4 linked regions of the Lonchura striata genome follow. The protein of the gene in region 4 purifies or fractionates together with the protein of the main gene of each other region. This does not show direct contact. Links are inferred from orthologs where the notes say so. Each region holds a gene or a part of one and is shown on either strand. Other genes may lie near its edges.

What was found.
Region 1: the proteins of EDC4 (region 4) and EDC3 purify together in Homo sapiens (affinity purification with mass spectrometry; 6 studies listed by BioGRID and IntAct, with this or other methods). This does not show direct contact. The link is inferred for Lonchura striata from reciprocal best matches to the Homo sapiens genes EDC4 and EDC3.
Region 2: the proteins of EDC4 (region 4) and XRN1 purify together in Homo sapiens (co-immunoprecipitation; 4 studies listed by BioGRID and IntAct, with this or other methods). This does not show direct contact. The link is inferred for Lonchura striata from reciprocal best matches to the Homo sapiens genes EDC4 and XRN1.
Region 3: the proteins of EDC4 (region 4) and DCP1A purify together in Homo sapiens (co-immunoprecipitation; 9 studies listed by BioGRID and IntAct, with this or other methods). This does not show direct contact. The link is inferred for Lonchura striata from reciprocal best matches to the Homo sapiens genes EDC4 and DCP1A.

What each region holds. Positions count from the first base shown.
Region 1 is NC_134613.1:5,971,885-5,978,929, reverse strand, and holds the start of EDC3 (enhancer of mRNA-decapping protein 3), read right to left. Parts: upstream 3,017-7,045; 5' UTR 2,944-3,016; intron 1-2,943. UniProt on the Homo sapiens protein: Binds single-stranded RNA. Involved in the process of mRNA degradation and in the positive regulation of mRNA decapping. May play a role in spermiogenesis and oogenesis.
Region 2 is NC_134612.1:12,799,854-12,807,191, reverse strand, and holds the start of XRN1 (5'-3' exoribonuclease 1), read left to right. Parts: upstream 1-4,337; 5' UTR 4,338-4,444; coding exon 4,445-4,519; intron 4,520-7,127; coding exon 7,128-7,338. Other genes in the region: serine/threonine-protein kinase ATR, read left to right, coding at 665-816, 1,051-1,156, 2,464-2,637. UniProt on the Homo sapiens protein: Major 5'-3' exoribonuclease involved in mRNA decay. Required for the 5'-3'-processing of the G4 tetraplex-containing DNA and RNA substrates. The kinetic of hydrolysis is faster for G4 RNA tetraplex than for G4 DNA tetraplex and monomeric RNA tetraplex.
Region 3 is NC_134614.1:10,596,366-10,604,148, reverse strand, and holds the start of DCP1A (mRNA-decapping enzyme 1A), read left to right. Parts: upstream 1-4,776; 5' UTR 4,777-4,813; coding exon 4,814-4,948; intron 4,949-5,840; coding exon 5,841-5,881; intron 5,882-7,682; coding exon 7,683-7,783. UniProt on the Homo sapiens protein: Necessary for the degradation of mRNAs, both in normal mRNA turnover and in nonsense-mediated mRNA decay. Removes the 7-methyl guanine cap structure from mRNA molecules, yielding a 5'-phosphorylated mRNA fragment and 7m-GDP.
Region 4 is NC_134615.1:16,944,164-16,951,565, forward strand, and holds the start of EDC4 (enhancer of mRNA-decapping protein 4), read right to left. Parts: upstream 3,005-7,402; 5' UTR 2,956-3,004; coding exon 2,877-2,955; intron 1-2,876. Other genes in the region: NUTF2 (nuclear transport factor 2), read right to left, coding at 4,036-4,149. UniProt on the Homo sapiens protein: In the process of mRNA degradation, seems to play a role in mRNA decapping. Component of a complex containing DCP2 and DCP1A which functions in decapping of ARE-containing mRNAs. Promotes complex formation between DCP1A and DCP2.

The sequences.
Region 1 (7,045 bases), on a different chromosome or scaffold from region 4:
TACAGGGCAGGAGGGGAACCCCAACCAACAGAGAAACACAAAAGGGTGAAAAAAATCCCCAAAAACTGGAATGCAGGATAAAAGCAGCAAAGGCAGCATCAGTGCCACGATTAGATAAATGAATTTTAAAATAGTTTTTCTCCTTGCACTGAAGTTCTGTCAAAACCAGGGGAGAAAAACTCCAATTTGTTTAGACAGATGTTTCCAACAGTGCTGGAAGCAGCTAAAGAGCTCCTTTGATCCCAGATTTCCCAGTGACAGGCTCACGAGCATCACGGAGAACAGGAGACATGACAAGCTCCTAAATGTGGAGATTTGCCTTTCATGCTGTAATCAAAGAGGGAGAATGTTTGATATTTACTGTGAACAGCACAAAGAAACACGGCAGACAGCCCAGGGAGAGCAACTTCCATGTATAAATCACATTTCTGGAAGAGGCAGCTGGATTCTCTGCAAGCTGAGCCTCATTGAAAAAAAAACAAGGGAAAAAAAAAAAACAACTTGGATTAGGGGGGAAAAAAAAAATCTCACTTCCCCCAACTTTCAGAGGCTGAAAAGAGGGGATGCTTCAAAGGGAAGAAAATGTGAAATTTGGTGACAAAGCCATCAATTCCTGAGGAGCAGCTCCTGTCCTTCCTGTGGCTGTGTGTTTATGTTAACCCACGGTGACAATGTCTGCATTCCAAGGAGGTGGCTGATAAAAACACTCCCAAAACACAGATAACACAGCCTTGGGGACCACAGGGAAACCAAAGCTTCCTTCCATTTCCTGCTTTCTTCTCATCTCCCTTAGGAAACACAGGAAGGAGCTCGGCACACAGCAGCACCTTACACAGACACTTCTGAAAAACAGGAGCCTCCTTTTAGCACAGAAAACCCAAAAGTAAATCTATGTTTGAGTGCAAATATAAGTTTAACTACCCTGGAGTTGGAATAGAGGGGTGGCTGTGTCGCTGTAGGAAAATATAGGGAGCCCCATGGGTAAACACAGGGATCCCAAATATTGTAAATAACATAAATATTGTAAATATTTAAAAACATGTGGAGCTACCACAGGTAAATTCAGCCAGCCCCATAGGCAAAAATAGCAGCCCCATAAGGTAAAAAGGGGAACCCCCAAAATGAAAATGGGGATACGCCATGGATAAACACAGAGAAACCCCAAAAATAAACATAGAGAACCCCAAAAATAAATACAGGGACCCCCAGCATGCATAAACACAGGGAATCCCCTGCGTGGATAAACACAGGGAACCCCCAAAAATAAACACAGGGAACCCCCAAAAATAAACACAGGGAACCCCCAAAAATAAACACAGGGAACCCCCCCAGGGATAAAGAAAGGAATCCCCCCATGGATAAACACAGGGAACCCCAAAAATAACCACGAAAGGAATCCCCCCATGGATAAACACAGGGAACCCCAAAAATAACCACGGGGAACTCTCCCAAAAATAAACACAGACACTATCCATGGATAGTTACAGGGAACCCCCAAAAATAAACACAGACCCCTTGCCATGGATAAACACATTAAACCCCCAAAAAATAAACACAGACATCCCCCCAATGGATAAACACAGACCCCACCCCCATGGATAAACACAGGGAACCACAAAAACAAACACAGGGGACCCCCCCCACACACACACACAAAAATAAACACAGGGAACCTCCCCAGGGAGAAACAAAGGAATCCCCCCATGGATAAACAAAGGGAACCCCAAAAATAACCACAGACACTTTCCATGGATAATCACAGGGAACCCACAAAAATAAACAGAGACCCCTCCCATGGATAAACATAGGGAATGCCCCAAAAATAAACAAAGGGAACTGCCAAAAAGAAACAGACACCCCCCCCACCAAGGATAAACACATGGACCCCCCCCAAAAATAAACACAGGGAAGCCTGTGATGGATAAACAGAGAACCCCCAAAAATAAATACAGGGAAACCCCCCAAGGATAAACAAAGAAACCCCCAAAAATAAACAAAGGGACCTCCAATGGATAAACACAGGGAACCCCCAATGGATAAACACAGGGACACCCAATGGATAAACACAGGGAACCCTCCCATGGATAAACACAGGGAACCCCCACTGGATAAACACAGGGAACCCTCCCATGGATAAACACAGGGAACCCCACAAATAAACACAGGGAACCCCCAAAATAAACACAGGGACCCCCAATGGATAAACCCAGGGAACCCCCAATGGATAAATACAGGGAACCCCCAATGGATAAACACAGGGAACCTCCAATGGATAAACACAGGGAACCCCCAATGGATAAACACAGGGACCTCCAATGGATAAACACAGGGACCCCCAATGGATAAACACAGGGAACCTCCAATGGATAAACACAGGGAACCCCAAAAATAAACACAGGGACCCCCAATGGATAAACACAGGGAACCCCCAATGGATAAACATAGGGAACCCCCAATGGATAAACATAGGGAACCCCCAAAATAAAGAAAGGGAACGCCCAACGGATAAACACAAGGAACCCCCATAGATAAACACCAGGACCCCCAAAAATAAACACAGAGAACCCCCACGGAATGAACACAGGGCCCGCCATGTACCCACAGCACACCCCAAAACAGAAGACCCCCCAAAAGCAAACAGACGTCCCCAGAGACAAACACAGGGCACCTCCATGGGCACACACAGAGCCCCCCCGAGCTGACCAGGTCCCCCCAAAAACACCCACAGCACCCCACAGCGGAGCGCGGCGCTTCAGCCGTGATTAACCCCTGCGGGACCAGAGCCGAGCACAGCTCCCGGCCGGGCCTGCCCCGGGCCCACCGCGGGCGAAGGGCGGGCAGGGCGTGCGGAGGAGAGCCGCGACGCCGGGCAGGCCCCGCGGCGGGCGGGTACCGCGGGGAGCACGCGGGAAGCCGCAATCCCGGAGCCGGGCCCAAACTCACCCGCACGGCCCCGCAGCCGCCGCCGCTGCCGCTGCCCCGACCGCTCCCCTCAGCGGCTGCGCCTGACGTCACTTCCGGCCACGCCCCGCGCGCGGCGCTCCGGCACCGGAAACACCATAGAGACTGCGAGGTGTGCGCATGCGCAGTGAGAGACCGCGCAGGGGCTGCGACACGTGTGTGACACCTGCGTGACACCTGTGTGACAACGTGTGACACCTGTGTGACACCTGAGTGAAACCTGTGTGTGACACCTGTGTGTGACACCTGAGTGACACCTGTGTGACACCTGTGTGTGACACCTGTGTGTGACACCTGAGTGAAACCTGTGTGTGACACCTGTGTGACACCTGTGTGTGACACCTGTGTGTGACGCCTGTGTGACACCTGTGTGACACCTGTGTGATACCTGAGTGACACCTGTGTGATACGTGTGTGACACCTGAGTGACACCTGTGTGTGACACCTGAGTGTGACACCCGAGTGACATCTGTGTGTGACACCTGTGTGTGACACTCGTGTGACACCCATGTGACACCTGTGTCTCAGGTGTGTCACCTCCGTGTCACACTCCTCTGTCACCAGTGTGTCACACCCCTGTGTCACACCCTGCTGTCACACCTATCAGACACCGGTGTCACCCCTGGGTCACCTCCCAGTGTCACAGCTGTGTCAGGCACCTTTGTCACACTCGTGGGTCACGCACGTGTCACACACCTGTCACACACCTGTGTCATACCTGTGTCACTCCCGTGTGACACACCTGTCACCTGTGTCCCTCAATCCCCTCCTTCCCACCATCCCTTCCAGCATTTCCAGCCTTTCCAACATCTCCATCGCATCATCCCCCATCATCTTCATCATCTCCATCCCTCCATCTTCATCATCTTCATCCCTCCATCTTCATCATCTCCATCCCCCCATCATCTTCATCATCTCCATCCCCCCATCATCTTCATCATCTCCATCCCTTCCATCATCTCCATCCCTCCATCATCTCCATCACACCATCCCCCCATCATCTTCATCATCTCCATCCCCCCATCATCTTCATCATCTCCATCCCTCCATCTTCATCATCTTCATCCCTCCATCTTCATCATCTCCATCCCCCCATCATCTTCATCATCTCCATCCCCCCATCATCTTCATCATCTCCATCCCTTCCATCATCTCCATCCCTCCATCATCTCCATCACACCATCCCCCCATCATCTTCATCATCTCCATCCCCCCATCATCTTCATCATCTCCATCCCTCCATCTTCATCATCTTCATCCCTCCATCTTCATCATCTTCATCCCCCCATCATCTTCATCATCTCCATCCCTTCATCATCTCCATCATCTCCATCCCTTCATCATCATCATCTCCATCCCTTCATCATCTTCATCATCTCCATCCCTCCATCTTCATCATCTCCATCCCTTCATCATCTTCATCATGTCCATCCCTCCATCTTCATCATCTTCATCCCTCCATCTTCATCATCTCCATCCCCCCATCATCTTAATCTCCATCCCTTCCATCATCTCCATCCCTCCATCATCTCCATCACACCATCCCCCCATCATCTTCATCATCTCCATCCCCCCATCATCTTTATCATCTCCATCCCTCCATCATCTTCATCATCTCCACCCCCCCATCATCTGCATCATCTCCATCCCTCCATCGTCTCCATCATATCCATCCCTCCATCGTCTCCATCATCTTCATCCCTCCATCGTCTTCATCATCTCCATCCCTTCATCATCTTCATCATCTCCATCCCTCCATCATCTCCATCCTTCCATCATCTTCATCATCTCCATCCCTTTATCATCTTCATCATCTTCATCCCCCCATCATCTCCCACCGTTCCATCATCTCCATATCACCATCCGCCCATGATCTTCGTCATCTCCATCCCTTCCATAGTCGCCATCCCTTCCATCACCTCCATCCCTCCATTACACCATTCCTCCATTTCTGGCCCTTCCATCTTCTTCATTATCTCCATCCCTCCATCCCTCCATCACACCATCTCTTCCATCATCTCCACCCCTCTATCACAGCATCTCTTCCATCATCTCCATCCCTCCATTTCCAGCCCTTCTAGCATCTCCATCACACCATCACCCCATCATCTACATCATCTCCATACCTTCCATCATCTCCATCCCTCCATCACACCATCCCTCCATCATCCCCATCACACCATCCCTTCATCATCTCTATCCTTTCCATCATCTCCATCCCTCCTTCCATCATTTCCAGCTGTTCCATCATCTCCATATCACCATCCCCCCATCATCTTCATCATCTTCATCATCTCCATCCCTTCCATCGTCTCCATCACAGCATCTCTTCCATCATCTCTATGCCTCCATAATCTCCATCACACCATCCCTCCATTTCCTGCCCTTCCATCATCTCCATCACACCATCCCCTCTATCATCTCCATCATCTCCATCCCTCCATCATCTCCATCACACCATCCCCTCTATCATCATCATCCCCATACTTTCCATCATCTGCATCCCCTCCATATGTCCATCACACCATCCCTCCATCATCTCCATCCCTCCTTCACACCATCCCTTTTATCATTTCCAGCCCTTCCATCATCTCCATCCCCTCCATATTTCCATCACACCATCCCTCAATCTTCTCCATCCCCTCCATCATCTCCATCCATCCCATCTCCTCATACCTCCACCACCTCTGTCCCCTTTTCATCCCTTCCATCCCCTCCCTCCCTGCCAAGGCTGCTCTGTTCCACACCCAAACCACCAGCAGCTCCAAGCTGCGCTGGGGCTGATCCCTGGGGGATCAACAGACCCCAACTTTCCCGAGGGAAATTCACCTTTTTTGCTTTTTTTTGTTTGTTTTTTTACGGGAAATCGTGGAAAACTTGGGATTTCATGATGCCCGGCAATGGGAACAAAACATCCCCCGTGGCTGGCTCTGACCTACTGATTCCAGGTTTTCAGGGACAGAAAGCTATTCCCAATTTTTAGTGAAGCCCTGAACTGATCCAGGGCATCACCTTCCAGAATCAGCTCCCTTTGGGATGAAAATACTGCCCAGTGCCCCTGGAGTCACAGCCCACACCCCTGTGGCAGCACGTTTCTCTCCCTCTCTGGATTTTCATAGAGGAGCACAGAGAGAAATGAAAGAGAAAACAATTTCTGTTTCTGCTCCTTGTTTTTCCCATGTGGAATGTGGTTGGAGAATTGTTTACCTGGGGTGATGCTTGGTTGGATTCTGGTGAGGATTGTTTGAGCCTGATGGCCAATCCAATCCAACTCAACCCAATCCAACCCAATCCAATCCAACACAACCCAACCCAATCCAACTCAATCCAACCCACCTGGAGCTGGACTCTCAGAGTGGGTCACAAGTTGAGTGAGAGTCAGAGAAAGTAGTTTGTAGTTTTAGTATCCTCCTTTAATAGAGTATATTAATGTATTTTAGCATAGTTATAATAAAATAATTCAGCCTTCTGAATTGAGTCAGACATCCTCATTTCTCCCCATTGGGCTCGCCTGCGTTTACAATACACCAACTCAGATTTTTAAGGATGACAGAGCAGCATAGGGTGTTCCCCCCCGCAAAAAAAAAAATTTATTTTCCAGTGGAATAAAATTCAGAAAGCGACTCAAGAGATGTTCATGTGAGTATTTATTGGGTTAGAAACGTGGTGTGGTTTCCATCCCAGCTGCATTCCAAGCGGGCACAAACAGGCAGGAATTGCTGCTGCGTTTGCCATGAGGCTTCACCTTCCCGCTGGCTAAAGCTGAGCGTGGCAAAGGCACCTCCTGCACTCCTGAAAGCCTTGCTCCTTAGCCTGCATACAGAAATCTATTGCTTGATAAAGAAAAAAACCCTGATATTAAAAAAGGCAGCAAATGCAGGGTTAGTCTGAAAGCCAGCAGTGTCCTACAGTTCCTTTTTGTCCCTTTCCCGGTCCTTTGAGATTTTCCAGGAGGCTCCATGTTAGGATTGATTTAAAATCTCAATTTGTGAGTGGCTCCGCTGGTGGATTTTTGTTTTTTCAATCAGTAGGAACACTCAGGAATTCACTCCATGAGTTCACATTCAAGGAATTTGGCTGTGTG
Region 2 (7,338 bases), on a different chromosome or scaffold from region 4:
ATACCGAAACAGCCCAAATTTTAGATTGTTTCTATTTTGTGACTCTCCTCTCTCCACTATCACCCTCCAAACAAAACTAATTGCTACATTCAGAATTCTGCTGCTGTGGAGAATTTCTTGTTCTCTCTCACACAAATTCACAAAAATTCCAACGTTTCTGTAAAATAAACAGCAGAAATTGTGGCCAGATTGGGATTTAGAGTTTTGGTGTTCCAGTTGAAAGATGTTTTTGGTGTGGGACATGTGGCCTTTTTAGTTCTGATAAGTGAGGTAGAAATATTGTTAGGTTATTTCTTCTGGTTTCTTTTTAGTAAGTCTAAATTGTCCTATATAACAATTTAAAAAAATGTTTTTAAGCAAACTTGCAGATTATAAAAGAAAAGTTAGCATTTTTGCAATGAGACTACAGAGCATAAATATGTATTTAAGAACAAAATTTTATTCCCTGCGTTAGTGTGTTAAAAAAGGGGGAAAGAGGTTATTTGGACAATGTTATCTTTTACTCTGTGTAATTTCCCCTTATCTGAGTAAGACTGTGAGCTGAGCAAACATATCTTGCCAGCTAGGAAACCGCCACTGACAAAGAGGGAGGAAAAAACTTAAAACCAATGCAAATAATGCTTAAAACACTTAGGGCATCCCTTTTCTTTTTCTCAATGTAAAGGGAGAAACTTTTGAAGTTCCGGAAATTGTTCCTTTCCGCCTCACTCACAACATGGTTAATGGGATGGGTCCCATGGGAACAGAAGGGCTCTTCCGAAGAGCCTGTGAAGTCACCCTGAGGCTGATGCGTGATCAGAGGGAGCCTCTGATGAGGTACGGCAACTACTTCTGCTACAAACTCCCCAAAGCTGTCTGTAGTCTAAACGTGTGAAACAGAAACTGCTGGAGCATATGCCTATCCTGCAGCTCACTCTCACCATGACATAGAGCTAAATATAAAGCTATATAAATATTCAGCACTAGCTACAGGCTCCTGACAGTGTTTATGTTTTGAAAATTAAATGTATTTATGTATCATATCCTTTTCTAAATTTTTTATTTATTTAGTGTCTTAAAGACTTTTCTCCATGATCCTCTTGTGGAATGGAGTAAACCTGTTAAAGGGAATACAAAAGCCCAGGTGAATGAAACTGGAGAAGTTGTCAATGAAAAGGTGAGTTTAAAACAAACACAGCCTAAGGTATTCAAATGTGGAATGTCCATTATTGTTACGAATTACATACTTCCTAATGAAAACTTCATTTTTTTTTTTCTTCCATTTAAAAATTTCTCTGTTTGTTCTTTGTTATCTTTCTGTTCATAATTTTTATCCATGACGAGATTTTTTTTAACTGATAAAAAATGTAATTTATCTGTTAAAGAACCAAACAAAAAAGCCTGTCATTCTCTTGTTGGTGTTACTAAATCAAGGAAAATATCAGCAGAAGTGATGCATCTTGTTACCCCTCACTTGCAGAGTCCTCCAGATTTACAGTGATGGTAACTTCTGGAGTCCTTTCCATGTGTATATTCATGCTTTTCCTGAATGGATGTTTATTATTGAATAAATATATGCCCTGGTACATATAGAGAATGATGTGATTAAAATTAAGATTTCATACTGTTTCTTTATTAGCTGCTGCTGAAGACTGTATTATTCACCCAAAGTATAGCTTAATTTTTAATATCTTCCCTCTATGCAAAATTTCTGATTTGTTCCTTTCTATTTTTGGGGGTTTTTTTTAAGGACAGTTTAATGAAAATAAATGTGTAATAGCAGACAATACTTAGGGAGCACTAACAAACACAGTTAAGATAAGGAAAAACTACATCACTGAAACTGTATGACAACAAAGAATTTACCTGTTCTATTTCAGCACAGAAAATCTCTTGGTCTTCAAACAGTTTCTAACCAGCTATGTCTACATTCTTTTACAAAAATTTTCTTTTACAAGACCGCCCACATAATTGTATATGTTAACTGCTTTTTCTGGAGAAGTGCCAACGATGTGCTTGAGATTTAAAAGAAAATGTGTGAATGTAATTGGTATGAACTAGCAACTCCAGTGGGCCTTGGAACAGCTCATTTTGAGATGCTCAAATTTTGATCTAAATTTTCCAGACTTAAATTTTATCCAGAAGTCCAGGAACAAGGCTAGGAAAATGCTGCATTTATTTGAAATTAATTGTATGCAATAAGCTTTCTAACAATTCTCAGATATATTTATATAGCTCTTTCAGTCTCCTTTGGTAACTTTTAACTGTAAAAATGTAAGGCAAAAGTTATAGCTTGGCCAATAATATATCCATGCTAGAGAATTGTTCTTATAAGTGAGTAGCCTTTGTTTTCAATGTAGCTGGTATAGGCATCTGGATTTTGTGTTAAATTATAATATGATTTCAAACACATCCTAAGGAATACTGGTTTTATTTTGAGAAGTGGAAGTTCATGAATAGTACCAATTTTTTTCTTCTTTGCAGGCCAAAACTCATGTCCTTGATATAGAACAACGGCTGCAAGGTGTCATTAAGACTAGAAACAGAATCAAAGGATTACCTTTATCTATTGAAGGGCATGTTCATTACCTCATTCAAGAAGCAAGTGATGACAACCTGCTCTGCCAGATGTATATGGGCTGGGCTCCATATATGTGATATTTGTTCCCTTTGGAATAATAGCATCCACAAGTACTGTAGCTGTAATATTGTTGAGAGGGAATCAGTGAGTGGTACGTGGTTACTTCTGTTGATTTTTGGCTGCAAGCAGAAGAAAAGGTTTATGGTCTTCCAATATCTGTGTAAAATGTACAGTGCCCTTGCAAGAATGATATGAATGCAGATGTGTAAGGTGTTAGGACTCACCTTTTGTACATAAAAGTCAGTACGTAAGAACTGCTTAAAATTTAGACTATGCAAGGCTCTGCAAGTCTCTGACTAAATGAAAGATTTTCATGATGTTGACAGATGCACTCTATAAAGTACTGTATATTTTTGTACATGTTTCTCATTTGGCTTAGATTAGAAAATAAAACAATGAAGTTTAATACTGATAGGATGTAAAGTGGTTATTTCAATTTCTGTATTCATATGCAGAAGGACTTTCTAAAAATTATTAGTATTTCTTTCCAGCAGTAAACTTTTCTTCAACTTTCTTTCCTGTTGTGTGGCTATTTCTAGGAAAGCTTTTGGGATTTTAAATCTTAGCGTGAGTAAACTGGTAAAGTGGTTCCATATTCTGAACCTATTTCCTTAGCCCTTCAGTGCAGTGCTCTAAAAAAACCTCCCGAAGGACATGGGACAAAGGGAGCTGCAGGACGCTGGCAGTGTGGCTGTAAGGCCAGGGCAGTGGGCAGGTGGTTGTGGCTGTGAATGTACCATCCGCGTAGGCTCCCGAGAGCTTTGTGCATCCCCTCTTCCGCCCTGGAAAAAACACGGCTCTAGGGAGTATTTTTCAGACTCCATTTCAGAAAAGGTGTTTTTGCACAGAGAAGAGTAGACTAAAATATGGTTGAAAGGCAAATGTTAATTTACAGTAATGCTTGCTTTCTAGGCATCCAAAATGTAGGGAAATGAGGGGTGGGGGGGGAGATAGGGAAAAATTACACCTTTTTAACCTACAGTAGGCTATTATTAGAATTTTTGTGGTTTTGTTTCTGCTATTCTGAGAGACAAGCAGCGCTGTTAGATTTCGATTACAGGTTCACACCCGTGTGACACTCAAATGTTTGCTCTGTTCGGCTGAAATCCAGAGGTTTGGGAAAGTAAAATAATGGGTCTGCAACTGCTTCTAGGGCGTTTGTTTCTCCGTCGATCAAGTGCGCAATCTAGAAGTGTTGTCACTGTCCCATAAACGTGCCGAGTTTTCCTAGTAAAATATTTGGAACATACTGTGTTTCCGGTGTTGTGTTTGAGCGCTGACGTTCTGTTTTTTTCCCAGGCTTTATCGGTTTATCGGAGCGCAGAGAGCCGCCCGAGGAGCTGTTGCACCGGGCGGTGCCATCGCGCGGGGAGCAGATCTGCGGCGCGGGCTGGGGCGGGACAGGGGCAAAGGGGGCTCTGCGTGTTCGCGGCTCTCCCCAGCCCTGCGTACCGGGGCGGGACAGGGGCAAAGGGGGCTCCGCGTGTTCGCGGCTCTCCCCAGCCCTGCGTACCGGGGCGGGACAGGGGCAGAGGGAGCTCCGCGTGTTCGCGGCTCTCCCCAGCCCTGCGTACCGGGGCGGGACAGGGGCAAAGGGGGCTCCGCGTGTTCGCGGCTCTCCCCAGCCCTGCGTACCGGGGCGGCGGTGAGGCAGCCGAGGGGCGGGACCCGGCCCGGGCCCGCCCGCTCCGGCGCCGCTCCGTGCCGCTCGCTCTCGGTGCGGGCGCTCGGCCGCTGTCAGCGCGGCGCGCCGGAAGGAGGGCGGAGCGCGGCCCGCCGTGTTTGGTTCCGGCGGGGCTGTGAGGGCGGCGGGGAGCTGTGGCCATGGGGGTCCCCAAGTTCTACCGGTGGATCTCGGAGCGGTACCCCTGCCTCAGCCAGGTGCTGAAGGAGCATCAGGTGAGCTGCGGGCGGAGCGGCGCTGCCTGACACGGGCCCGCCCCGGGGGTCCTGACCGGCCCCTCGGCGGGACGGGGGAGCGGGAGAGCGCTCGGGCCCCGTCTCCGGGCGGCCCTGCGGCACCGAGTCCCGGCCCGGCCCGGCTCGCCCACGGCCGGGGCGGTGCGGCTCAGCGGGACCCGCCGAAAGCGGTGGGACGGCGGTGGGCGATCCCTGGGGAGCGGTGAGGCGTTCGGTGCCCCCTGACAGCCCGGCTGCCGGGCCGAGCCCGCCGCTGGCAGGCAGCAGTGGCCGCGGCTGGGGCCGGCGATGGTGGCAGCAGTCCCAGACCGAGCGCGCCGTTCCCCCGGGAGCGGCGGGTCCCGGCCCGCGCCGCCCGCCCGCCCCGCCGGGCTCTCCCTCGCTCTGGTCCGCTCGGCAGCCCCCGCCGGCCGCGCGGGAGCCCGCGGTCGGAGTTTGCTCCTTCTTGGGCTCAGAAAAGTTACAGCTGCTGACGGCCAGTGGCGCGGTAATGACGAGGGACAGGTTTTACAGCTGTGCTGCGTTTCCTTGTTGTCGCCTGCGTCGGACAGTTTGTGTTAGTAGCTGAACCGGGAAGTATGTTCAAGCCTGGAAAACTCAAGCCGTAAATCATATTTCCAATAGTTGGACAAAGACGTCATCTTTTCAGAGATGACATGTTTGGTACCTGTTGGATACAAGTGCTTCTAATTATCATTTTCAGCTGGTGTCACAGATGTGGTTTTATAGATTGAGTAAGGATCTTCTGAGATAGGTGATAATTGAGAGTGTGTTTGAATATTAATACATTTTCCCTGAACACCTGTGATTTTTAAAGATTAAATAGCTGTTGTGTCCGTGTAACTAAGGTGCCCAGCTCAAGTGATTCCCAGCCTGGATGTTTGGCCTTATCTGATAGTTTTAAAGCAGTGTTCAAAGCTTAGGGCTTTGCTTATGATTTGTTGGCCTTCTCTGAAGTGTCTAATGTTATCTGTGTAGCAAGGTGGCAGCAGTTTATGCTGCCTTTTCTGCTGTTTCCTTAGAAGCCTGGGCTGCTGACACATCTTTAAACTTGTGCTGAAGAACTTTGGCAAGCTGGGGAGGCAGCAGTGTCTACTCTAACCAGGGGTATGGCAGCAGAGGGTGCCACCCTTGATGCCTTCTAAAAGAGGCAGCTAGAGCTCTTAAGACAAACAGTAAACACAACCCTTCCAGATCACTTGAAGATACAGACTGACACATGCTGGCATCTGGAGTATACGCTAAGAGTAAAAAAAAAAAACCAAACTAATAAATCAAAAAGCTGTTTTACTATCTATATAAAACAGCATTATTGTTAAATCATATTATAGCTGTTCTTCTCAAATAAAACATAGGACCTTTTATGTATGTTGCTTCCATGTAAAAGCTTTTGGTTTTGTGTCTTTAAGACGCTGCCTATGCACTGCCCTGCTCACTTATCTGAAAGCACTGAGAGCAGTTTGGTTGCTGAGTTGAACCATACTAAAGATCATGATGTGCAACAGAAGGCTAGTTACAGCAGTTGATTGGGGATCATTCCTGATCCTGCCTCTAATTTCTTCTCTTCACCATTTTCTCTTTCTAAGACAGTTACAGTTCTCATCTGGAGGATGAATGCAAGCCCAACAAGGTGCCTTTAAAGATGTGTGAGCAGTAGTTTTGTAGAAAACTGTAACAAGTTGGCAGTGCCTTTTCCTAGGTGTGATGATAGGGGGATTTTTGTGAGCAGTCTTACTGAGGGATTAGGGAAGAGATTTCTTTAATGTCAGTTGCTCTTGTGGTGCATTTTGGTGACACTGAGGTAGTACTGGTCCCTTTGCATCATACATTTACCAGTGTTTGTTCTCTGTATGTTGCTTGTGTACATTTGGGAAGGCTTTCTTTTTCCTTGAAAAGAAAGTATGACTGCTATAGATAAGGCTGTTAGAATAGCAGAGAACTTAAACGAAAGATAAATTCTGTTTGGAAAGTCTGGGTAATAAATTGATATTATTATTGCCAGCTCTCTGCTTTTGGTGGTAATTTCCACTCTCTAGACTCAAAGATGCTCACAAGCATAACTAAAGAGACAGCATACAGTGGTTGGGGTAGGAGCTGCTGAACAGGGGGAGAACTCTAAAGGTTCTTAAGCCATCTTTGCTTGGAAATATTGTTGGAAATTGCATGCTCAGTTTTGTATTTTTTTTTTTTGTTTGTAGTGCAGCTATGAAAAGTTGAATCAATTAAATGTGCAGGCTTACAAAAAAAAAAGAAAAAAAAATCTTCCTGAAAACAGTGGTTTTGGTTTGCTTTTCCATTTTACAATGTAGAAGATAGTCGGAGCACAGGGACAAAAGTCTCGAAGTTCCAGAAACAGCCAGGATAAAGTAGTAACCTGTTCAGCTGACTTGGCTCCCTGACAAAAATCAAAGTAACAGACTGCATGTGCAGGCAAACCCATACCCTGTCCAGATATTCTTACTGTGCCTGTTGGTGTGCAGGAGGTTCCACAGAGGTCTTCCCACCTCAGCTCATTTCCAGAGTGCTCTCAGGTGTGCCTTGGGCAGCGGCTGCATTCACCAAGTGGTGCTAACTGTGGCATTTGCAGATTCCAGAATTTGACAACTTGTACCTGGACATGAATGGCATTATACATCAGTGTTCACATCCCAATGATGATGATGTCCACTTCAGAATCTCAGAAGATAAGATTTTTGCCAATATTTTTCACTATTTGGAAGTACTGTTTCGCATTATTAAACCAAGAAAGGTTTTCTTCATGGCGGTTGATGGAGTAGCTCCAAGAGCGAAAATGAATC
Region 3 (7,783 bases), on a different chromosome or scaffold from region 4:
CAGAGTCCCAGGAATAATGTTTTCTCTCTAGTTCTGATTTATGTCAATAATAAACTTCTCTCGTTCCTCTGTCAGTGACAGATTCCAACTAAGGGTGAACATGATATAATTTGGAGCTGAACCTCTGTGCCCTAGTTAAAAAAAATCATTTTACCTGTCTAATTTCACTACCTACCTTCATCAGAGAAGAGCTGTCATATTTTGATGCAAATTCCAGCAATTTACATGTTTCAAGCTGGCAGGCAATGTCTTCCTAGAAAAACTTGCCACCCTTCCACAATCTCCTGTGAAATGGCAAACCAGGTTAGAAAGATAGAGGAGATTGGATTACCTGTCTGCACCAGATCATTGTTTCTAGGAGATAATCCATAAATGATTAAGCCTTCTAATGTTATTGAGCAATGTAAGGAGGGCTGCCTGTGACCTATTTCACCCTCTTACACTGTTGTTGTGGGAGTAGCTTTACTGTATAAATTCAATTGAGTGTTTTCATTCTTCTGTTTTTATTGAATTGTAACTGTAATTTAATGACTTTTCTCTGTTTCTTTCAATATAATTTCAGAATCTCTTGGAAGGACCGTAACTATTGGTTACACTCATATCCAAAATGTCAGTGGACACACAGATGGCTAACTGCTTTTTTTTTTGTCATTTTCCTAGTACTTTATCAAGCTACATTATTTCAGAAAGTGCTGTTGTTTTTAATGTTTCGTGCTTCACATTTTCTAGAAGATTTTTCCAATTGTACAAGGAGAAAAAAAAAAAAGAAAGTCATGCATTCCTTTACAGAATCATTACTGCAATTATTTCATGGCAAAGAAACTTCTAGTTAAATTCACATTTCAGTATTGCAACAGCTGGGAAACTCAGAAACTATGCAAAATAGTTCTGTGTTAGATCTGTTTTATACAGAGCATGGAAACAGGAAAAAATCCCCTACCTAAAGCTGGGTAAATCACTAGTCCCATAACAATCTTCCTAAAGCTTGTCACTTCCATGTGATGATCCTGCCAAACCTGCAGTCCCTTTACACACCATTCCATCCCACCAAATTTAATTGTTTGGATTAACACTGCTGCCCTTCTACTGTTAATATGTAGCAATTTGGAAAACTTTCCTCTGAAAGAGGAAGAAGATTTTGCACAACTGAAAGCAAGGATTTGTCACCATGAATATGCAGTAAGGTACCTGTGGCTGCAGCATTAGTGCAGAGAGAGCACAGTGCAAGCTGGAGCTCCTAGAAAAGGCTGCTGATCCACATGGTCCTCCAAAGGGCAGAATAACTGCCAGGGAAGGTAACTATAGAACCTGAGCAGTTTATACCATATTTATACAAATGAGGAAAATGCTCAAGTAATGCCACCTGTGAAATAAAAAGGTTTTTCAAATAAAATGTCAGCACTTCAAAAATTCTAGCATCCCCTTCCCCTTGGGTTTTTTTTTAAGCAATAAAATGCAAAATAAAAGTTCATTAAGTTATTAAGGAAGTTATGACCAGGACCTTTTGTCCTATCTAGAACTAAGCCCAAATAAACAGTTTGTAGAATTACAGCCATTATCCTGAAATTTAGGGTTTAGATAACAATGCAATTATCAATCAATAGCCCAGAAATTGCCTCCCATTACAAAACAAGGAAAACATCTGCAAACAAACCAACAGAAGTGTGTCATTTGCAAAACAGTTCATGAAACCAGGAATTTCTGGCAATTGTTTTGAATAGAAAACTGTAAAGAAAAAATACAAGCTCTGTGAGTCACTCAGATTTGCAAGACTCCCTGGACCCTAATTCAGCCAGGAGTAATAACAGGAAATGCACTGACTGGGAGCACTGGCTGCACTTCTCCCTCATCTGAACAGCAGCAATAATCTTTTGCTGAGGATATTCAGCCAACAAGGGAAAAAGAAAAGGACTGAAGAACTTTTCTGTAGGAAGTTTAAAGGAGTAACTGCAGCCCAAATAAGCTTTGGGAACACATGAGTAATCTACTGTGCAAAAAGAGGGGCCAGAAAAAGAGTTTGTATAACAGAACTGCCAACAGCAGAGCAACAGAGACTCAGCCATGGTGTCAAAAGCAAACAAAAAAGAGGGTCTTTATTACTTCATCTGCCTTAATATTAACACAGATTAAGTAGGGTAATAAATTAATATATCCTCTTCTAAAAAACCTCAGCAGTATAAGTGAACTATAAAACACAATGCTCCCTTCACTTGTTGAAACACAAATGGAATCTGTCCCACTCACAGAGAAAACATGAAAAGAACACTGTGACAGCACATTTCTCCCTCTCTCAGGATTTTTCATAGACGTGCACAGAGAGAAATGAAAGAGAAAACAATTTCTATTTCTGCTCCTTGTTTTTCCCATGTGGAATGTGTTTGGAGAATTGTTCACCTGGAATGAATGCTTGGTTGGATTCTGGTGAGGATTGTTTGAGCCTGATGGCCAATCCAACCCACCTGGGGCTGGACTTGAGAGAGAGGGTCACGAACTGAGTTAGAGAAAGTAGTATGTAGTTTTAGTATCTTCATTTATATAGTATATTAATGTATTTTAGCATAGTTATAGTAAAGAAATCATTCAGCCTTCTGAATTGAGTCAGACATCATCATTTCTTCCCATTGGGTTTGCCTGCATTTACAACCGTGTGGGCACCGTGTGCATCATCCCGCTTGTGCCTGGCTCCGTGCAAGGATCAGGAGCAGGGAGTGAGAGAGGAACATTTCCCCAGCACAGCTCTGGGGAGGCTTGAGGAGATTTGCACCACACAGCACTCCCAGCACACGCCTGAGTAGCTACAACTCCCCAGTGTACCCCCAGACTCTGCCTGTACACACACTTTGCTGTGCTGCAAGGTTGAGGAGGCAGAGGACAGGCCATGCATCACTTCCAATCCAAAATATTTTATTCCAACGCAGCAACGGTGAAGACAGGGAGAATAAATTCACTGAAATGCAGCACTGGAATGAGCAGATGAAGGAGGAAAACAATCCAGAAGCAGAAACCACTGCTTCCCTTCCTTGCTGCTCCTTGTGATTCACTTTTAATGCAAGATGAAGCCAAGGAGTTTTTCACAACTGAGATCTCAAACAGCACAAAATTTCCTTTGCCAATAAGTTTTTAAATTTGAAAGATAGCTTTTCTTTACAGTAATCTTGCAGAAGGGGGCAGATTGATGCAGACGTTTAAGATACCATTTGGAACCAGTTTTTTAAAAAAGTTTTTGTCATTTTCCTTCTATTTGAGTTCTTAGAATGTGGTTGCTGTATAAAATAGATTTCAAAGTTTAATTTCTTCTTAGCATCTTTCTCTAATATAAACTGTTAGTGAATAATGAGAAATTTTACATCAAAGTATTGCCTTTAAGAGCAAACACTACAGAACTAGGGAAAACCCAAATTTTATGGATTAGGCTCTTCTATGGTGAAACCATTAGAAAGACATGGACAATTTATGGAGCTCCAAGACATTCCATATGACTTTTGTTGAGTTTTTTACTGATGTTTATGCCCTGGGGTTCAAGGGTGAGTTAGTGGGATGAAGTTTTCTGTCTAGATTACTTTTTCCCTAATAAATGCATTTTCACTTTACACTGTAACTGTTTGACACCAAAATAGGCACATTATTGTTTTGTCCCAAAAGCTTTACAGTTTAAAAAAATTACACTAGAACTTGGTATTTCCACTTCTTATCAGATAGACTTTTGTGGAACCACACAACTGCTGGATCCTTGTTTATGGTTAATGCAATGCAATAAATGTCAGCCATCATAGGAGAGGACTATCCTGTAAAGCTCTATTAAAAGTTTGTATCAGAAGTTTGTCCACCTGCAACAAAAAAACTTGACTTGTGGTAATACAGAGCATAGCACATATTCTTGAAATACTCAGGGTCAGGAGCCTGCCACAGACAAGATTTTGTTTAGAAATATACAAACCTGTTTATTCCATGTCAGATTGCAAAAAATGCTACAAAGGTACTTGAACCTAAGTGATCTTATCTTGGACATAATTTATGCCTTGGTCCTGATGAATATACTACACTTTCCTGTTCCTAAAATCACCAGTAATTGAAAAAGCTGCAGGAAAAAAATCTCAGTACACTGCATATTACTTTGTTCTTGTTTCAGCAAATGTAGATATGTACTACACAGCACTCCACTTTACATAGGGCAGTTTAGCGCCCTATGCACCTTCACTTTACCTGAGAAACGTATGTGTGGATGTTTACTACACCTGACAGAAATACTTAATCCCCAAATTCTTCTAAAATATTGAGAATTCCATATCCCACTGCAGACCGTGAAATACTGATATACCAGAAAATGACGGACACGGGAGCAAAGAGCATCCACCCTCCTGAGCCTGTGAGCCAGCTCATCGCGCTTCACAGGGCAGCCTGCAGTAAGCTCCGGAGCCTGCGGATCACTAATGGGGTAAATAAATAAAAACAAGATGCGAGGGCCAGCCCGCAGCCCTGCCCAAGGCCCACGGCCCTGCGAGCGCTCAGTGCCCGGCGCTGCGAGCGGGGAGCGGCGCCCGGGAACGGGCCGCGGGCCCGAGGTGAGAACAGGGCCCGGGCAGGGGCCGCGGTCCCGCGGTGAGGAGAGGAGCCCGGGAAGGGGCCGGGAAGGGGCCGCGGGCCCGAGGTGAGAACAGGCCCCGGGAAGGGCCCGGCGGGGCGGGGCGTGGGCCCAGGCCGGCGGGCGGAACCTCAGGCGCGGGCCGCGCGCTCCGGCCGGCGGCGGGGCCGGGCACGCCGCTGCACCGGCGCGGCTGTCGCCGTTCCGCGGGCGGGGCTGCCCGGATCCAAGATGGAGGCGGCGGGCAGAGCGGGGCAGGAGATGAGCCTGGCGGCCCTGCGGCGGCACGACCCCTTCATCACCGGCATCGCCGACGTGACCGGCCAGGTCGCGCTCTACAGCTTCAGCCCCAAGGACAACGAGTGGGTGAGTCCGGCGGGGCGGGCCCGGCCGTGCCCGCGCCCCGGCAGCCGCCGGGCCCGGCGCGCCCGCGCGGGGCCGAACCCAGGGGAGTTCGGGGTTTGGGCGCGTTCCCCCCTCCTGTAATGGGGGAGAGGAGCGAGAGGGAGACGGAGAGAGCAGGCGAGAGGGAGAGGAAGAGGAGGAGAAGGAGGAAGAGGGAGAGGCGAGGCCGTGCGTGCGCTCGGGGAGGCGGCGCCGCTCCCCCTCGGGCCGGGGCAGCGCCGGGGCTGGAGCGCGCCTTGGCTGCTGCTGGCCATTGACTTTTCTCGTTTTTAAAGGTACTTTGTTGTTGTTGCTCGCGCCTGTTGCACAGAGCCCTAATTCGGGAAGAGAGGAATTTAAGATTGCATTAAAGCACAGTTTTGGCTTGACCGCCGGGTTCATCGCAGAGCCATAAAAATGGGAATATGGGGAACTGCCCGTGCAGCCCTGGAGCTGGAGCAGCTTTCCTCGACACGCCCGTGCTGAGGGTTGCTCTGGGAGCTGGAGTCTGCCACAGAGCCATGCCCACGGTGCTACCGTGCTGTGCTGTTGTGGCTGTCCTTGGAGTAGAACTGGAACACAACCTCTCGGATATTTGGAGTCTGCTCAGCAGGGGAAGGTTGTGGAACAATGTGTGTGTATCACGTCGGCAAATAGAGAGAGTGAGCAAAGTGTTTTGGAAGTAGGTTTAACGTCCTAATTCTTCTAATTAAAAAATTTGGAAAGTTATGAAAATAAGGGAGCATAATTTTTGTCCTGTGATGTCAAACCTTATGGAAAGATATGGATATTGTAAGTCTGTAATTAAAACACTGTACAAAACCTACCTGTGTGAACAAGCACATCCCTGAAGTGCTTTTGTTATCTTTTGTAGGAAAAAACTGACATAGAAGGGACCTTATTTGTGTATAAAAGGTAAGGTTACTTTGGGTTGGTTTTTTGGGGGAGGGGGTATAGAGTAGTGGCGATATTTGTTTTCTTTCCTTAAGAAAACAAGCTCCAGATGGCTTCCTACAGAGCTTTCATACTCATCATTTTTTGCTTGTCCAGCTGTTAACTGCTGTGTAGTCATTCAAGAAGAATAAATTCTGCACATGGGTGAATAACTCTGTTAAAAGCCCCTAAAAGTATTGCTAAGAAAGTGTAAAACTTGAATGCTACATATGTACCCACATCAAAAACTAGTTTATTGAGCTTATTTTATTAATCCAATAGCATTTGTTAGTGCATTGAGTTTGTTTAATGCCAAGTCTCCCTCTGTCTCCTAACATCCATGAAGCTGATTATGAAAACGATAGACATGAGAAATTAAATAATGTGTTTTAAATTACTAATGGAATATATAATAAATTTTTGTAAATGGATGGAGTTGCCCAAAAGCTGGAGATCTTGTAATGTCTGGTTTTGGGAGTTGTCTGATTTCCTCTCAAAATCATGGAAGAAATTTCCAGCTCTCTAGGACAGGTAAAAGGACTGAGGAGAACCAACACATAATATCAATCATAAGTTCAAGTCTTAAATTATAGGCAAATTAAAAAATCTAAATTAAATAACACTTTGTTGAAGGTAAGAAATAGAAATAATGCAGACTTAAGCCATCCTGAGGCAGACTGTCATAGTTTGGTTGTTACAATATTTTATCTCAGTACTGTGTAGGGATTTGAGTCACAGTTCCTTTACTTCAGCTCCCAGCTTGGAAATACGCAGTGTAAGAAAGTATTAACCAAACTTAAAAAAAAATAAAATCAAAAACCAAAGCAAAAGCTTTGTGTCACTAGCTGATGATTTCAAACAAGTTCTGCGAGGTGCATTAAGGGACTCACTTGTGATGGTAATGGTTGTTTACCCTGTCCTTGGAAACTCTTGAGAGATTTTTGGTGTCAATCATTAGGTAAAGGTGGCCACGCTGTTACAGAAATCTTTACATTTACCAGCTTATTGTGTCTGATTTTTAGCCTACCTTCGTTGTTGTTGATTATACAACATTTTACAGGCACAGTTCAGTGCTGACAGGACATTCATGCAGCAAGAAAAAACAGATCTAAAACTATCTTGAACTTTCAATGCTTGCTCAGTGTTTTCTTTTTTTACTTGGTGTTCAGAAAAAATCTAGATAAATAAAAATTGTTTCACTGAGCAATACAATTCTGAATAATTTACTTTCAGGATACTGGCTTAAGTCTTTATTTGCAGAGTCTCCCTTTAGGAATAAATTACTGTTTATGGTTCCCCCTGTAAGTGTACTTCATGCTATTTAAAAGATAGCAGTTCTTTTTTTTATTGTCATGTCTATTTACAATAAGGTAATGATGCTGTGTAAATGGTTTGGTTTTTGTCCTCTAATTAAAAAATTCTGAAATGCCTCAAAACAATCTTATATCAAGTATTGAATAAATTTGCATTTTAATAGTGGACCTGCCCTAGTTTTTTTTAATAGATTTTTCCGAGGCATATCTTTGATTCAGCAGTGTAACAGTGTAGAATTGTAATGTTAATCCTAATCCTGCTTTGAGGTAAATGCAGTTTAGTTTGAAATTGAAATTAGGTGGTGTGCCAAGAAATGGCATAGAAAAACAACTGTGAGAGCTGCAGGACTGCTAAAACTTCATGTAAGAAAGCAATGGAAATGTGAAGATAAATTCATAACTTGGTATCAGAAAATTATTTTCGTTAATGAAGATATTAATCCTTGGTTTTGTTTTCCTTGACACAATAGGTCAGCTTCTCCTTACCATGGTTTTACAATAGTGAATCGACTGAATATGCACAACCTGGTTGAGCCAGTAAATAAAGATTTGGAGTTTCAGCTCCATGAAC
Region 4 (7,402 bases):
TCAACAGATCAGGGTGAGTGCTGCTGCCTAAAACACAACTGCAGTTATTAATTTGCCAGAAGGGTATTTTAAGCTTGCCTGTTTATGAAGAGTCATTATGGACACAGGAATGTGCAGTGACAGGGTACACTGATGCAGGGACAATTCGGGCACTTGCCTCAGTGTACCTGCACTGCATGAAGAAAAAGCAGCAGCACTCACACAGCACAAGGAAACTCAAGCAAGGAATGTGATCCAGCACCTCACACTGGTGCTATGCTTGCTGTCAGCATTAAGATCTGCCCCTTATTCCTAGAGCATATGGTGGGTGCTTGTCCAGTTGCAGCTACTTCCACTGACAGCACTTGATCCTTTGTGACCAAAGGCAGGGAAATATTCCCTACAGAAAAAGCATCCCGTCTCTCAGAGAAAGATGATATGTGCTTTGCCCTTTTGCAGCCACAGGACTCTCATGTAAGTACTGCTGCTCTTTTACAGACAGCAGGATAGTGATGTTTGCTCCATGGGAAAAAGGAACGATGAAAACACTCCCCAGAGGCTGATGGGCCCAACAACAGCACACCCAAGTTCAGGAATGGGCACAGCTCAGTCTGTGTTAGTGGAAGCCAGACAAGCATAGGTGCTGCCTGTGCACAATCCTGAAGGCATAAAAGAAGGGAAGAGGCTCTGTTTAGTAAGAACATGAACTAAACCAAAAAGTTAAGCCAGACTGGTAGATAAAGGTCTCAAAGAGAAAGAAAGGTGTATGAATTCATTACCTTTTCAAAGAGCAGGAGCAGTCAGAGCTGAGACACTGAACTCTTCCTGCTCCCACCATCAGCACCAGGAGATGCCAGCATGCACTGAACAGAACACTGCCCTGATGCACCATGAGCAGGGTGAGCCCACATAACACCTGGTTATCAGCAGAGATCTCTTATGGATTGAAGGATCCTGCCCACACCAGCAGGGATGCTCCTCTTCAGCACAATGGCACTGACAGCCTGTCCCCACATCCCAGCAAGCAGGTCCATGCTTTGGCAACAGCTACTGAAGCATTGCAAGAAGTTCGCCAAAACTGGGAGAAACTGTGTCAAGAGAGACAGACTGGGCAGTGGATTACATTTTCACCAAGCCCAGCAGAATTTAAAGGGTATTGTGACAGTTGTGAACTCTTTGGAGCAGGGAGTGTTTCTTGTCACCTGCCTGGACAGGATCTAGAGGAACACAACACTGCTCAGGGCTACCTGCACTTGGTACTGCAAAACTTGAAGGCTCCCCTATTCCTCTCCCCTGGCAGCCTAACAGGAGTTTCAGAGACTTTCAGCTAACATGTGCACTCTTCTTCTTCCCCTTATTATGTGAGTCTTTTCAAGTTTATTTGCTGTTATGCAGGCAGTGATTTCTGCTGAGAATAGCCACAGGTTCCTCCTGTGAACTTCCTGCCCACTTGTTCCTTCTCCTCTCAGATGCCTTCTTGTGCACTGGAGTTGACAGAGAAGGCAAAAAGAGAATGAAGAGGAAAGAAGAATGAAAAAAATAAGCCATATTCTGTCAGTAACTCCTTGACTTCAACCAGCAGGAGAAGCTGCTTCAGAAGAAAGTCAAGTCATCTTGAGCAACAACTCCAACCATTTCTCAACCACAATATATCCTTTCAGTTCAGAAACTGCTTGTGAAACGAGTCTTCCCCATCCCTGCACTGAGTTCTCCTTTCAGTTTTCCAAGTACTGTGCTGCACTACAAATAAAATACGAATTTTTCTTGTAAGAATTAGAATTCAGGACATGTGCTAGCACTCCAGAAACCACAAAAACTACTCCAATTAATGAGAAGTTTCTCTAAGGGTAGTAGAGCTAATGAAGCTGCCTTCCTGTAGGTTTAGCCCATCACTTCAAGGGCCTCTACAGCCCTCCACAACAATCCCACACCCACCCTCTCTTCCTTTTGCCCAAGCAAAAGGCAGCACACATGGCAGATGCTTTGGAGGTAGCATGTTCCCGCTGAGTCTCAGGACATTTTGAAGTTATATTATTCCTGTCCTGCCTTTCTCTTGAAAGGAGCATAAGAGGGGCATAATTCTGTCCTCTACCCAGAGGTTAAGATATTTTTGCACAGCATTCATGTCTCAGCCTCCTTCAGAGTGTTACCTCACCACATTTGACTGAAACACCACAGCAGGTTCAACAAAGGAGATGAGATCGAGAGCCGAAGCTCCAGGGGAGTGGGAACACTAACCAGCTGACTCCTGAGCCTGCTGCTGATACTCTTACAGGCAGAAGGGAGCCCGCTGAACTCTGAGCAGGGAAGTATGATAGTTCCGAGCACAAAAGACTCACAAACACTTCAGAAGAGATATCCGTGATCCCATTTCACGTACAAATAAGGAGAGCGAAAAGTTCGTGTAAAGGAGGAACCTGGCACTGATCTCAGAGCAGCCTACAAGCCTCTTCCACTCGATCCACTCCCAGTGCTCCCGGGAAGGGGGGACACTCGTGTCACGGAGCTCGGTGCGGTTCAGCTCCCAGCAGCAACACCTCCAGCTGAATGGAGCCCCGAGAGCGCCGCAGCAGCGAGCTCTGGGGCCGGGCTGCTCTCGCTCTGCCCAGCGCCAGCAGCCCCTCCCTCAAGCGAGGGTCCCCAGGCCGGGGCTCCCTCCCCTCTCCTCTCCTCACCGCGGGCTCAGCGAGGCAGTGCCGAGCGGGACCCCTGGCCCTGGGCGGGTCGGAGGGCGCTGCCAGGCGCCCCGAGGCGAAGCGGTCCCGGCCGGGCCCCGAGCGCGGCCGCTGACAACCGGCGGGGCGGCGGCGCAACGGCCGAGGGGCTCCCGCGGCCCGGCCGAGACCAGGCCCCGCCCGGCCCGGCCCGGCGGCCTCCCGCGCCCCGCCGCTCCTCACCTCCCGGCCGGTCCAGCTTGAGGATGTCCCGCAGGTGCTGCGTGGCGTCCTCGATGTCGATGCTGGAGCAGGAGGCCATGGGGCCCGGCGCGCCGCCCGCCCGCGCCGCCGCCACCGCGCTGCCCGGCCCGGCCCCGCCGCCCGCGCTTCCGCCTCCGGCCCGGCCCTGCGAGCGCCGGGCGGAAACCGCCGCCCGAACGGAGCGTTCCCGGCGCGGCGGGGCGGGGCCGCGGCGGCCCGGGGCTCCCCCGCCGCCGCCCCGCACACGGCGGCTGCCGCCGGACGGGGAGGCTGCACACAGCGCAGCGCGGAACCGAGCGGAGCTCCAGGCACAGACTGCCCGTGTGCGTTCGCCTGCGGAGGGAACAAAGGTGTCCCGTGGCTTGGAGCGGGCACGGAGACCGACTGCAGGCTACCGCCACTGTACTAGTGGGGAATTTGCATCCGTAAAATACAACAGGTGAGAACGAAGCTGTCGGTGTTAAAAACTGAGCCAGAAGGCTCGGTTACAAAAGCTGCTGAGGAGATGGTGTATGGAGGAGGGCAGACGTGCCCTGCACTCGCTGCTGAAACTGTGAGGCATTGTTCAGCTGGAGCTCCAGCTCTGCAAGCATTCCCCCACCAGACAGACACAATCTACCCCCAGCAAGCACTTATCACACACACTCCACAGCCAACTCATAAAAACAATTTAAACTTTTAAGAAAATCTCTGTTTTATTGTGTAATGTAGCATTGAAACATCTGAACAAATCAATAACTGGGCTGTACAGGCTGCTGTTCTTTCATTTCTTTGGGTTATAGAGCATCTTGTCAGTACATAAACAACAACCTTTTGCATTATAAATTCTTTCCGAGGCATGCTGGTACAACACAAATTTCTCTTATCAAATGCAGCTAAGTCTAACTTCCAAACATCATGCACAAGAAACTCATCTAGTGACAATGTAAACTCAGCAGAAGGGCAGGTCACAAGTCTTGCTTGCTCACGCTCTGCAGTGCTGCAGGTTTGTGTATGATATTTGGAATGTTCCGTGAGTGTGAATAATACCAGTTAAGAGGAGAGGAGGAAAACGGGAAAAAAAAAAAAAAAAAAAAAGAAAGAAAAAATAAAAGAAAAAAGAAAAAAAAAAAAGCCCGGGTGCCTCGGGATGGGCTGCTCAGCCAAAGTTGTGCAGTGCTAGCCTGAACATGTCATTGGTGCAAACCCAGGCATCGTTGATGTTCTTTAATAGAAATATCTGGTGGAATCCCATGATAGGATCTTCATCAGCCTGTAGAAAGAGAGAGGGGGAAAAAAGGTTCAAAACACTAATTTTTTTGATAAGCTTATTCCAAAACTCATGATGAGACAACTTCAAGCTAACATTAATAGTGACATTACATGCTGTAAAATGTGTAGCACCCCAGGAGACACCAACACCACCAGAGGACCTGTTCTGAAGGGCTTTGCAGACAAACACCCAGGGCCCAGAGACATGGAAATGCTGCAACGGCATCTGAAGTTGGGGTTTGGTGGAAGACTTACTGACATGTCACTCACCACACTGATGGAACATGCCTGCCTCAGTGTTGAATCACAAAGCCCTTGCCCAGGAATTAATCTTAAAAGAAAGTGGTGTGATTTTTAACTGCTGAACTTTGGGTTGATGGCAGAAGGGAGTTTCTGTAGAGGTTGGTATCAACATGTTGCCTGGATGATCCAGGTGATCTGGGCTTTGAAAGCCTTGCCAGAGCAGGTGCAGCTGGCCAGAAACACAGCACTTCCCACTTGCAGCAACAGCTGGAAGGGAGCAGAGCATTCACTACAGCTGTGACAACGTGTCCTAAGCACAGGGAATGGCTGCAGCTGTGCCTCCACTCCTGCCTGACAACACATCTGGGTATTTACAACATTACTACAAAACTAGAAAGTAGTATTAGAGGGAGACTAGTAAGTACTTCCACCCAATTTTATTTATCCATAGTTTCAGAGACATCGTGCAGGAATTAAATCCTCAAAATAACATAAATGATTCCCAAATCAATCAGCTGGAAACCACACAACAGGATTTAATCTGAACAGCACACAGGGCCAACTACAATCTTCTGATGGTGGCTGTAGTGTGTTCAATTCAGCATTTCTGGAGGATTTTAAGCTTTATTTTTTCAACACATCACTATTCAGCTTCAGAAAAGGGAGGAAATTTATTTTAAAAAAGGCTTGAAAAGCAGCAGCCAGAGCAGCTCATGAAAGAGGCACTCAAAGCACTGAATGTTCATTGGCAATGCTCTGCTGCTGTTCACTGAGAACAAGTGAAAAGTGAAGAGCAAAGCAGACTACAGAAAGATCAGAAAAGAAACTTTACTTTAAAAAAAGTATTCATGGACAGTGAAACAAGTCAGTTTTGAGGACCAACTTGCAAAGGACATCACTTCTATCACAGGACAGCAGGTGTGCCAGAACATTGGTGGCATCAGGTGCATGGAAAGGAAGCATTCAGATCCATAACCACTGCAAGGATTTCACAGTGACAACCAGCTGGGAAGTTAAGTGGTGTACATGAAGTGCAGTTTCAGTAAGTGTGTGTTAATTCACAGAGTAAACCAAAGTGGGCCCTAGACTGGCCCCTCATGAAAGTGACACTGAAATAATAATTGATATGTATTTATTAAACCAGCTGAGAGCTGTAAAGCTATCAAGGCAAGCACAGGGTTAGCAGTTGTTAGGGAAGAACAAAGAACCAAATCCCAGAAGTAAGCAAATGCATAAATAGGCAAAGAGCACCCACATATCAAAACCTGCATGCGTTTCTTATAAGTTAAAAAATAAAATGCTACAGTAAAGTCATAAAAGGACAAGAAAAATGATCCAGCTAGAGGATGGTTTCCTACTGAAGAAAGTAAATTGAGTAAAACTTTTCAGCTTGCAAAAACATAATGAGAATGGGGAGAATAGACAAGATAAATTACTACAAAATCATGAAGAAGAAAGTGAATGAGGAAACTATTACAGCCAGAAATTAGGAAGGCAACAAGTAAGGCCAGGATTATGTGCAAGCCAGTGTTCAATACATGACTGAGACTGAGAGAATTCTCTGAGAATGAGCGAAAAAATCCTCAAAGCAAGACAGGTGCCAGCAGTCACTGTCCAGCCAACAAACAGGGCAGCTTGTCCCTCAGTACACACCTGCTTTGCATGGGGCAGAAGCTCCCTAGGAACGAGCCCAGTGTGAGCACCAGCAATTCTGCTGGGCTAGACCAGCCATCCATGGCGTGCATCAGCACATCTGCCAGCAGCCATGGCAAGTGTTTCAAAGGAAATATTATCTCTACTGCACGTGCCCAGAACAGAGGCTCACATATCCGTGCTGTAGAGGTGGCCTGTGCACCGAAGCCCATGGGTTTGTGCCTTTTCCAGCTTTTCCTGGGTATCCAGTGTAACCCATCCCAGGAGAGCCTCATCACTGCTTGGGAGTTAGCAGGTTCTCAACTCCCAGTTGTCCTCCTTGTTGCAGATCACCGAGGCATCTATTACAAGTTGCATAAGTACTTTTCACACCAAATTTGAGCTTGTCATTACTGACGTAAATATGCTTTAATAGATACCTCTGGAAAAAAAAAATACCATCACCAGACAAGCTTTACTGTAGGTCTCCTTGATTTCTGATAAGCCTAGGTAGCCTCTGATAAGAGCACTGCAGCTCTTGATGCTTTGGCTTAAGGAGAATTTCCTCCTTTCTTAAGAAATTCAGCGCTGGACACATGAATAAAGACTAAAAGGGAATTCTCCCCAAAACATCTGGTGTGGTACAGACAACAAATTCCAACAATGAAGTCACACATTATTATTTTCTTTATTCCTTTCATGTTATCCCTTCATAGCATAGATGAGCAGTGTACTTTAAAAACAAGGAAAATCCTAGACTACATTCAAGGTGACGTATATACTTTATAGTCCATTCCCCAATTTTGACTATGTAATATTAGCACATAGCAAAGGCTCACAGTTTAGTGACTCAAGATACCACAGAAAACACAGACTAATCCTATTCTGTATTATTTTAGATCTTCATCACAGCTCAGATAACACCACTGAAACTCCCTCTCCTTACTTTTCACTCCAAATTCAGGCATGTCCAACTCAGGATTTGCATTCCACCCCTGTGAGCCCAGGCTCAAAACACAAGGGGCTTTAGTCTTCCTATAAAACTTTCCTTTGTGCAGTTCAAGTTCTTCCATGACATCACTGAATTAAAACAAAAATTAAACAAGTCCCAGAATTAGACTGGAAGAATCTTCTGATTTCCAGGCCAGCCTTTTGCTCAGCATGAGCACAGACTGCAGCAGCTCTGCATCACAGAACCACAGAACACGCTGGTTTGGAACAGAGATGGTAAAAGTCCACAGAAGGACCTTTAGAGATCATCTAATCCAATCATCCTGTCCTGGGCAGGGACATCTTTCAAAGGCCACAGCCTTGTCTAGCAGAGTCTTCAAATTCTCACAGAACAGATGTTTCACAAGATGCTCAGGCACCACTTCCCA